Linked DNA regions of Cricetulus griseus. The protein of the gene in region 1 interacts with the protein of each later gene in a pairwise test. Links are inferred from orthologs where the notes say so. Each region holds a gene or a part of one and is shown on either strand. Other genes may lie near its edges.

Region 1 (3,825 bases):
TTAAGATTCTGTTTGAAAATTCTGTTTGTACTGTTGAGTTGAAATAACTGTCTGCATTTATATTTGGATTCTCATAGTGGAAAATTATATTCTAGGTCTGCTTTGCCTGTGTAGATGGGAAAGAATTCCGTCTTGCTCAGATGTGTGGACTTCATATTGTAGTACATGCAGATGAATTAGAGGAACTTATCAACTACTATCAGGTAACGAACACCAGACCTTTATATGGATTGAGATCTTTGTATAGATATTCTGTCCTCTAATTGCACATTTCCCTTGTTTAGGATCGTGGATATTTTGAAGAACTCATTACCATGTTGGAGGCAGCCTTGGGACTAGAACGAGCTCACATGGGAATGTTTACCGAACTAGCTATTTTGTATTCTAAATTCAAGCCACAGAAAATGAGGGAACACCTGGAGTTGTTCTGGTCGAGAGTGAATATTCCTAAGGTAACAATCTTCACCACTGTAAGGCAGCTCTAATCATTTAGGCTGATAGCAGGAGTTGGGCTTACATCTTACACGACTGGTCTATGTTGTGCAGGTGCTGAGAGCTGCAGAACAAGCCCACCTTTGGGCAGAGCTGGTGTTCCTGTATGACAAGTATGAAGAGTATGATAATGCCATAATCACCATGATGAACCATCCCACTGATGCATGGAAGGAAGGGCAGTTCAAAGACATCATCACCAAGGTATATACCTTCAGAGATATGGGCTGTGGAAAGACAGGGCTCGTTGGGGACGAACTGGCTTTTAATGCATGGGTTTCTCCTATTTTAGGTGGCCAATGTGGAGCTGTACTACAGAGCAATCCAGTTCTACTTAGAATTCAAGCCTCTGTTGTTAAATGACTTGCTTATGGTGCTGTCTCCACGGTTGGATCACACTCGTGCTGTCAATTATTTCAGCAAGGTAACCATTTCAAACCGACTTCATAGTGAAGATTCATAGACCTTCAACCATGGCTATCTTTCTAACAAACTTTATTTTAAAGGTTAAACAGCTACCACTGGTGAAACCATATTTACGCTCAGTTCAGAACCACAACAACAAATCTGTGAATGAGTCACTGAACAACCTCTTTATTACAGAAGAAGATTACCAGGTAAAACCTTTGGATTCTTGTAAATACTTAAAACATGGTTCTGATTAGGTTTAAAGTTGGCTTTAAACAGGTTCTGTGGTAAAAGCTACTGTTACCTTTACATTTATAAAGAAGCAGGCACGTGGGTGCCTAGGCTTCTTCAGTTAGTCCATAAAACTTACTTGTTATTAAGTACTTAACTATTACTTTTCTTTAAAAAAAAAAAAAACTATTACTTTTCTTTATTTTAGTATTTGTCTCATATTTTAGTATTTGTCTTTTAAATTTGCTTTTGTGAAAGATAGCACATAAATAGAAAATGTCTAGGTTAAGCTAGTTGCCTTGTTTTCTTTCACTTAATAATTGTTGACCTGACTGGAACTTGCCTAGTAGTGCATAAAGTGCAGTCTTGCCTCAGAATCTGGCTTCTGGATCAGCATGATTCCTTTAGGCTCATAGTCTAGCCTGTAAGGCTGAATATCATGTAATTTTATGAATTATTTCCTGGCAGCATAAGTTGTTGTCCATATTACATATTCTCCCAGCTCCATAGCTATTCAAGTTAGTATCAGTACTGGAAACCTTGGAGCAGATTGCCCTTTCAGAAAATTGTGCAGTACATTTGAGGATTTTATTTATTGTATTAGAAGTAGATGAAGAAGATTGACATCTGAATCCAGCTTACAACTTTTGTAGTTTGATGCTTGAATCTATGTTGTTATATTTTATGCTATCATCTAATTGCCTGCATCAAAATGAATTGTGAAAAATAAATGTTAAAAGTAAAAGCCTTTTTGACTTTTGAATTGCTTTGTCTCTTAAGGCTCTACGAACATCAATAGATGCTTATGACAACTTTGACAATATCTCACTTGCTCAGCGTTTGGAAAAACATGAACTCATTGAATTCAGAAGAATTGCTGCTTATCTCTTCAAAGGCAACAATCGCTGGAAACAGAGCGTAGAGCTGTGCAAGAAAGACAGCCTTTACAAGGTTGATAAAGTGGGGGTGGGCTGTCCAATCAACTCAGATAGTGTCTTACAAGTGTTAGTTTCATGGGTATGAGAATTGGTAGTGTAACTCTCTTTTGTGAATGTGGTCTTTTAGTCAGTGGGGTTTTGTTTTGTTTTGTTTTGTTTTTTAACTTCCAGGACTGGTTTGTGTCAGCATCCTTGGATAAACCTCTAACCTTCATTGTTTCTCTGAATAGGACGCGATGCAGTATGCCTCTGAATCTAAAGATACAGAATTGGCTGAAGAACTCCTACAGTGGTTTTTGCAGGAAGAAAAAAGAGAGTGCTTCGGGGCTTGTCTCTTTACCTGTTATGATCTTTTAAGGCCAGATGTCGTCCTGGAAACGGCATGGAGGCACAATATCATGGATTTTGCCATGCCCTATTTCATCCAGGTCATGAAGGAATATTTGACCAAGGTAATGACGCTTAGAAGTATATTCAAAACTAATAATCTTGAGAATATGTGCAATTCTACATGCATATTAGTTTTATTTTTTCTAATATAAATTGTTTAGTTGATCATAAAATGTTCCTATTACATAGAATTTTTCTTAAGTGTTGACAGATGCCATGACTAGGAAGGGAACTCAAGCTTGTCATTGTTTACCCTCTCTGTATTCTTCAAGTGAATAGCACTCTCTGTTTTAATATTTGAGATCTTTTAAAATAGCATTTTAAAATTAATTCCTATAACTCAGATTTCCATATATACTTCTGTAGACTCCCTTTGGTTTCTGACTTCATGTCTTTACCTGTTTCCCATGGGGAAGCTCTGTTGTATTAACAGCCTGCTAGTCATCACAGATTTTTTTTTTGGTAATCAGATATCTAATTTAAAAATACAATAGGAAATTTGCAATTACCCATGTTTCCTAAATACACATTAAATAAACTGAGGAGACAGCCACTTTATAAAATTTACTGTTCATGTTAGCATCTCTTTTTAATGTTAGAATAGATTTTGCTTGTCCTGAGTTACTAGCTATGCATAGAAAAATAATATTAAAAGATCCATTTTTGTCAGAACAAATCAAGTCTCACTTCTGTTCTCTTCAGCATGCCTGAGTACAAGTGGGGGAAACACTACAAATAAACCCCAGGATAGAAAGTTTTTTCCTCAAGGGATCACCTACCTACATACCTCATGTTGCACTTAGATTTTTTTTTAAGGGAATAATATTTTATGTAAGTTCAGTTCAGTGTGATTAAAAGAGTTACCCCAGTTTAGCCCCAGGGGAGCCAAGCTTCTTTTCTTATGCATAATGCCACCTTTTGAGACCTGGCTGCTGTTAACCTAAGTGCTGTCCATTACTAGCCATTAAGCTGCTTCCTTTCACACTGACTTAGCATAAATACTTCTGCAGTGAGCTTTGAAGTTAAAAGGATTCTCAATTTTGCTTCCGTTTGCCCTTGACTTCCACTTCGCTCCTACCTTTTTTAGTGGGTACATGTTTCTCCCCTGAACCTTTGTTGCTGATTCTACCTTTTTATGCTCAATATGGAATTTGATTTTTTTCTAAGCTGCACCTTCTGAATTCCTTTGCAGGTTGATGCAATAAAGGAAAAGGTGAAAGTTGATTCTTTTCCATCTTTAAGTCTGGAGGACTAAGTCTAAGGAATTTGCATGATTTTTTTCCTTCCTTTTCTACACTGCTGCTGCTGCTTTCCCCCCAATAAATTTTCACTAAGCCTCTGCAAGTCCCTTGAAACATAACTATAA
Region 2 (3,825 bases), on another chromosome or scaffold:
TAGACTGTAGTCTCTGGTCACCAGTGGTACAGACCTTTAATCCCAGGACTTGGGAGACAGAGGTAGAGGCAGGTGGATCTCTATGAGTTCAAGGCCAGCCTAATCTACACAGCAAGGTCTAGGACAGGTATGGCTACATAGAGAGACCCTATCTGAAAATACAAACAGACAAAAATATACTGTAGTCAATGATGAGAAAGGCTCTTGGGATTATACAATATAAAGGAGACAGTGGAGCCCAGTATGGTGTCACACACTCAGCTAGGTCTATGTAGTGAATCCCAGACCATCCAGTAAGGGAAGTAATAATGAGGTAGAATATAAATTTAATGAGCATTTACTTAACTGTTGAGGACTGACATATATTTGGTATCACACTCAGTGTTTATAGAGCCTGTTTTTTTATTGACCTGTGTCTTTGTGACAGGGGTCTATGTATCTTTCAAAGTGAATAATTTTTGTGACTGTTCTGTGGAGCATGTGTTAATCTGAACAGTTTTCAATTAGGGAATCCCTCTGGCATGTGTGAAAGCTTGTGTAAATGTTCCTAATTCATTATTCTTAGCACTTAGTGATACTTAGTGGCTATTTTGGCACAAAAACCTCCATGCAAAGTTATCTTACCATCCTCTGGTTTAGTCTTAGCATTTGCCTATGGTTGCGCAGGTTATGAAATAGAAAAATTCAAAATTTGAACTCAGGTGTGTCTGATTTAAAGCCCTTCCCTTTATGCCACACATGACGTGTCTTTTGGTTCAGGAACATGCACAGCCTAAACTGTCATAGTGGTGGGAATACGGCTTAGTGTCGAGCACTGACCTAGCATGAATGAGACCCTGGTTACTATTCTCTCAGTACCCCAGAGTGAGTGAGAAGACACCATAAACAAAAATGGAAAATCTGTGGTAATAAAAGCCAGGAGAGCTGGGTTCCAAAGCTTGACTTACGCCACTAAGTATCCTTCACCCTGTTAGAAACTCACCCCGAACTCCACTTTTTATGTAAACCACCAGTTATTACGTGTTAAGTAGTTCTGGGATCACATCCCTTCATTTCTAAACTACAAAAGACTGAAGAATGGGTAGGATTTAGACAAATGCTGTATGGGCATCTGGACAGTTTTATTTTATATTAAATAATATTAATGCCAACTGGGGAATGCTAGGATTGAGGGCTCTTAGGATACAGAGGATTCAGACCTGGGCCCTTGAGCATGCTAGTCAAGTGCTCTACTACCAAGCTATACCCACAGCCAGCTGTGGCTTGTTTTTAATTCCTTAGACCAAGTAAACAAAGATTTCATGTTCTTTATGTGTATTTTATGGCTTGGGAAGGATTTCTATATTTAAATAGTTGATATTTGCCTCATGATACATTGGAATTTATTTTCTAAGTTTGACTACTGTAAAGAAAACTTTAAATGCACTTGAAGTTAATTTTAGACTCTTGAATGCCCTGTCTTGCTTTGGTAATATTAAGAAGTCATCTTAAGTGATGGTTGTTTTTAATACCACTGTCATTCCCTGGAATGTTTTTGTTTCATGATAGTTGCTGTCCTTCGGTGAAAAGCAGTGTGTGCTCATCAGTAAAGTTGTGGTGCACGTGAGACCAAGGTCAGCAAATCCTTCACCAAGCTCTTCTGCTCTAGGATCACGGATAGACCTTGACAGTATCCAAACCATAATGGAGTCCATGGGGTCAAAGTTATCTCCTGGAGCTCAGCAGCTGATGAATATGATTAGGTTTCAGCAGCAGGCAAGTAAAGATGTATTTTGTTAAATTTTAAAATGCTGGTTTGGGGAGATGGTTCAGTCGGTAAAAGACTTGCTGTGCAAGCCTGAGCACCTGAGTTTGGATTCATAGAGTCCATGTAAAAACAGGAGGCATTATTAAATGTGTCTGTAATTTCTGTATTCCTACAAAAAGATGGGAGGTGAAGGCCTGATGTTCACAGGCCAGTTAGTCTGGTATATACCAGTGGGTTTAGACCTTGTTCAAAAGAGGTGGAAGATGAGAACTTGAGTAAATCCTCTGACTTCATAGCTCCCCTGCTTCCAAATACACACACACACACACACACACACACACACACACACACACACACAGTGCCCCTCCAAAAAACTCCACATTTTTAATACTGACCTTTAATATGACAATATAGTATATTAATTTTTCTCTTAGTTTCTACTATTGTTTTAACTGTCATCTATTTTTAATTTTTAAAAAAAGTCACATTTTGTAGACTTGCCTTTCTACAAATGTTCTAACTGCATAGCTTCAGTTTTCCCCAAATTCATTTTATGTGTTCATTTGGCAGAGAACAAGACTCTGACTTGCTCCCTTTTGAAGGAATAAAGGTGATCAGATAGTGTGTAGCCAGTCTTTAAGCTTTCTATCTGGGGAGTGATGAGATTAAGGGAGGTATACTGAAATAAGAGGCATTTCATCTGGGCTGTTAAAGAGGAAGGTGGAGTTAGTCAGGTCCATCTAGAGCTTGGTTACTTTAGAGAGATGCTAGTAATGGATAAGATCTTCAGTGCTAGAAGGAGTAGGATCTAGCTGAGAAATGAAAGGTGGTGAGTAGAGAGTAGAAATTTAAAGATTCATACTCGATCATGGAGATATAGCACATAGAGAGTTCATTTAAGTTTGTAAATGTCTTTGGCCTATTTTTAAAGAGATTTTATTCCACTATTAATGTGGAAGGTAAGTCAAAGGAAAGTAAGACTATAACAGAGAAACCAGCAGTATGTGATTTCCCTCACCCAGCTAAGAGGTGATGGAGTCTAGGCTAAATGTTGTAACATGATACTAGGTTGGGAGATTAATAAACCATGAAGCATAGAGTCATTGGGACTATACCGTTAATTAAAGGAGAAAAATAAAGTCACATGAGAAATTGAGGCTTTGAGGATGGCATTACCAGAAATATAGATGGAGCCAATGGGATGAGGACACTTGGTAAAAGGAGTCTAATTTGGGGAATATCAAATATAGCTGTGAACAGGGATTGCCTGGAAGGATATTTTAGCATTTGTAGACAGGATCAGGAGAGAAGGAGGTAGCTGTCTAAAAGGGAGGTTTGGGTGATGTACCCACAGTAGGAACCCTGTGAACAGAGAGGCTGAAACTAGAAAGAAAGACTCTTGGAGAGAAGCTATAATCTAGCAAAATATGGGGAGAGGAAGGAGGCACCAGAAGAACAGAAGGCACTGGTGTGATCAAAGAGAGGTTTTAATGTCAGGTTAGCTGAAGCTAAGCTGTTGTTCTGTCACTCAGTAGTTCTGTTTCCCTCAGCAAGGTCAGCCACATTTTTTTAACTAATGAAATTCTCTTTTACAAAATTTAAGTGATACCATTGTAAAGACCACAGTATTGATGTGGAAATTTAAGGCAAATACTGCAAAAATTTGTAAATGTTGCATGGTTTCATTGCTGGAGTCAGGGCAGTCCTGGGGTATGGGCAGAGGAAAGAGAACCAGGAGAATTGAGGGTTTTAACCTTTAAAAGCATTTTAACACAAGTGACAGTCTTGGCTATGGCTGCTTGGATCCCTTTTCCAGACATTCTGATGTTCCTATTCCTTACATGTTGCCACCTCTGGGCCTATGTATTCAATTGTTTGAATTCTTTGTTTTGTTTTCTTTGGCTAGAATTCTTCTCCTGTGATATTGTACTATTCTCTTACTCTAATTTCACCTTAGCCACAATAGTCTTAATTAGATATTCCCTGTCACACAATTCTTAGTAGCACATCCCTCTTAATCATTATCACAGTTTCATTTGCACCCTTCTGACCACTTTGTTATATATTTTTTAGTTATT

What was found.
Region 2: the proteins of Cltc (region 1) and C3H10orf88 interact in binary tests that used the Homo sapiens proteins (3 or more experiments, as listed by UniProt). The link is inferred for Cricetulus griseus from reciprocal best matches to the Homo sapiens genes CLTC and C10orf88.

What each region holds. Positions count from the first base shown.
Region 1 is NC_048600.1:99,942,403-99,946,227, reverse strand, and holds part of Cltc (clathrin heavy chain 1), read left to right. Parts: intron 1-95; coding exon 96-203; intron 204-284; coding exon 285-452; intron 453-546; coding exon 547-696; intron 697-784; coding exon 785-916; intron 917-998; coding exon 999-1,109; intron 1,110-1,911; coding exon 1,912-2,082; intron 2,083-2,299; coding exon 2,300-2,521; intron 2,522-3,651; coding exon 3,652-3,672; intron 3,673-3,825. UniProt on the Homo sapiens protein: Clathrin is the major protein of the polyhedral coat of coated pits and vesicles. Two different adapter protein complexes link the clathrin lattice either to the plasma membrane or to the trans-Golgi network.
Region 2 is NC_048596.1:69,504,239-69,508,063, forward strand, and holds part of C3H10orf88 (ATPase PAAT), read left to right. Parts: intron 1-1,548; coding exon 1,549-1,755; intron 1,756-3,825. UniProt on the Homo sapiens protein: ATPase that regulates mitochondrial ABC transporters ABCB7, ABCB8/MITOSUR and ABCB10. Regulates mitochondrial ferric concentration and heme biosynthesis and plays a role in the maintenance of mitochondrial homeostasis and cell survival.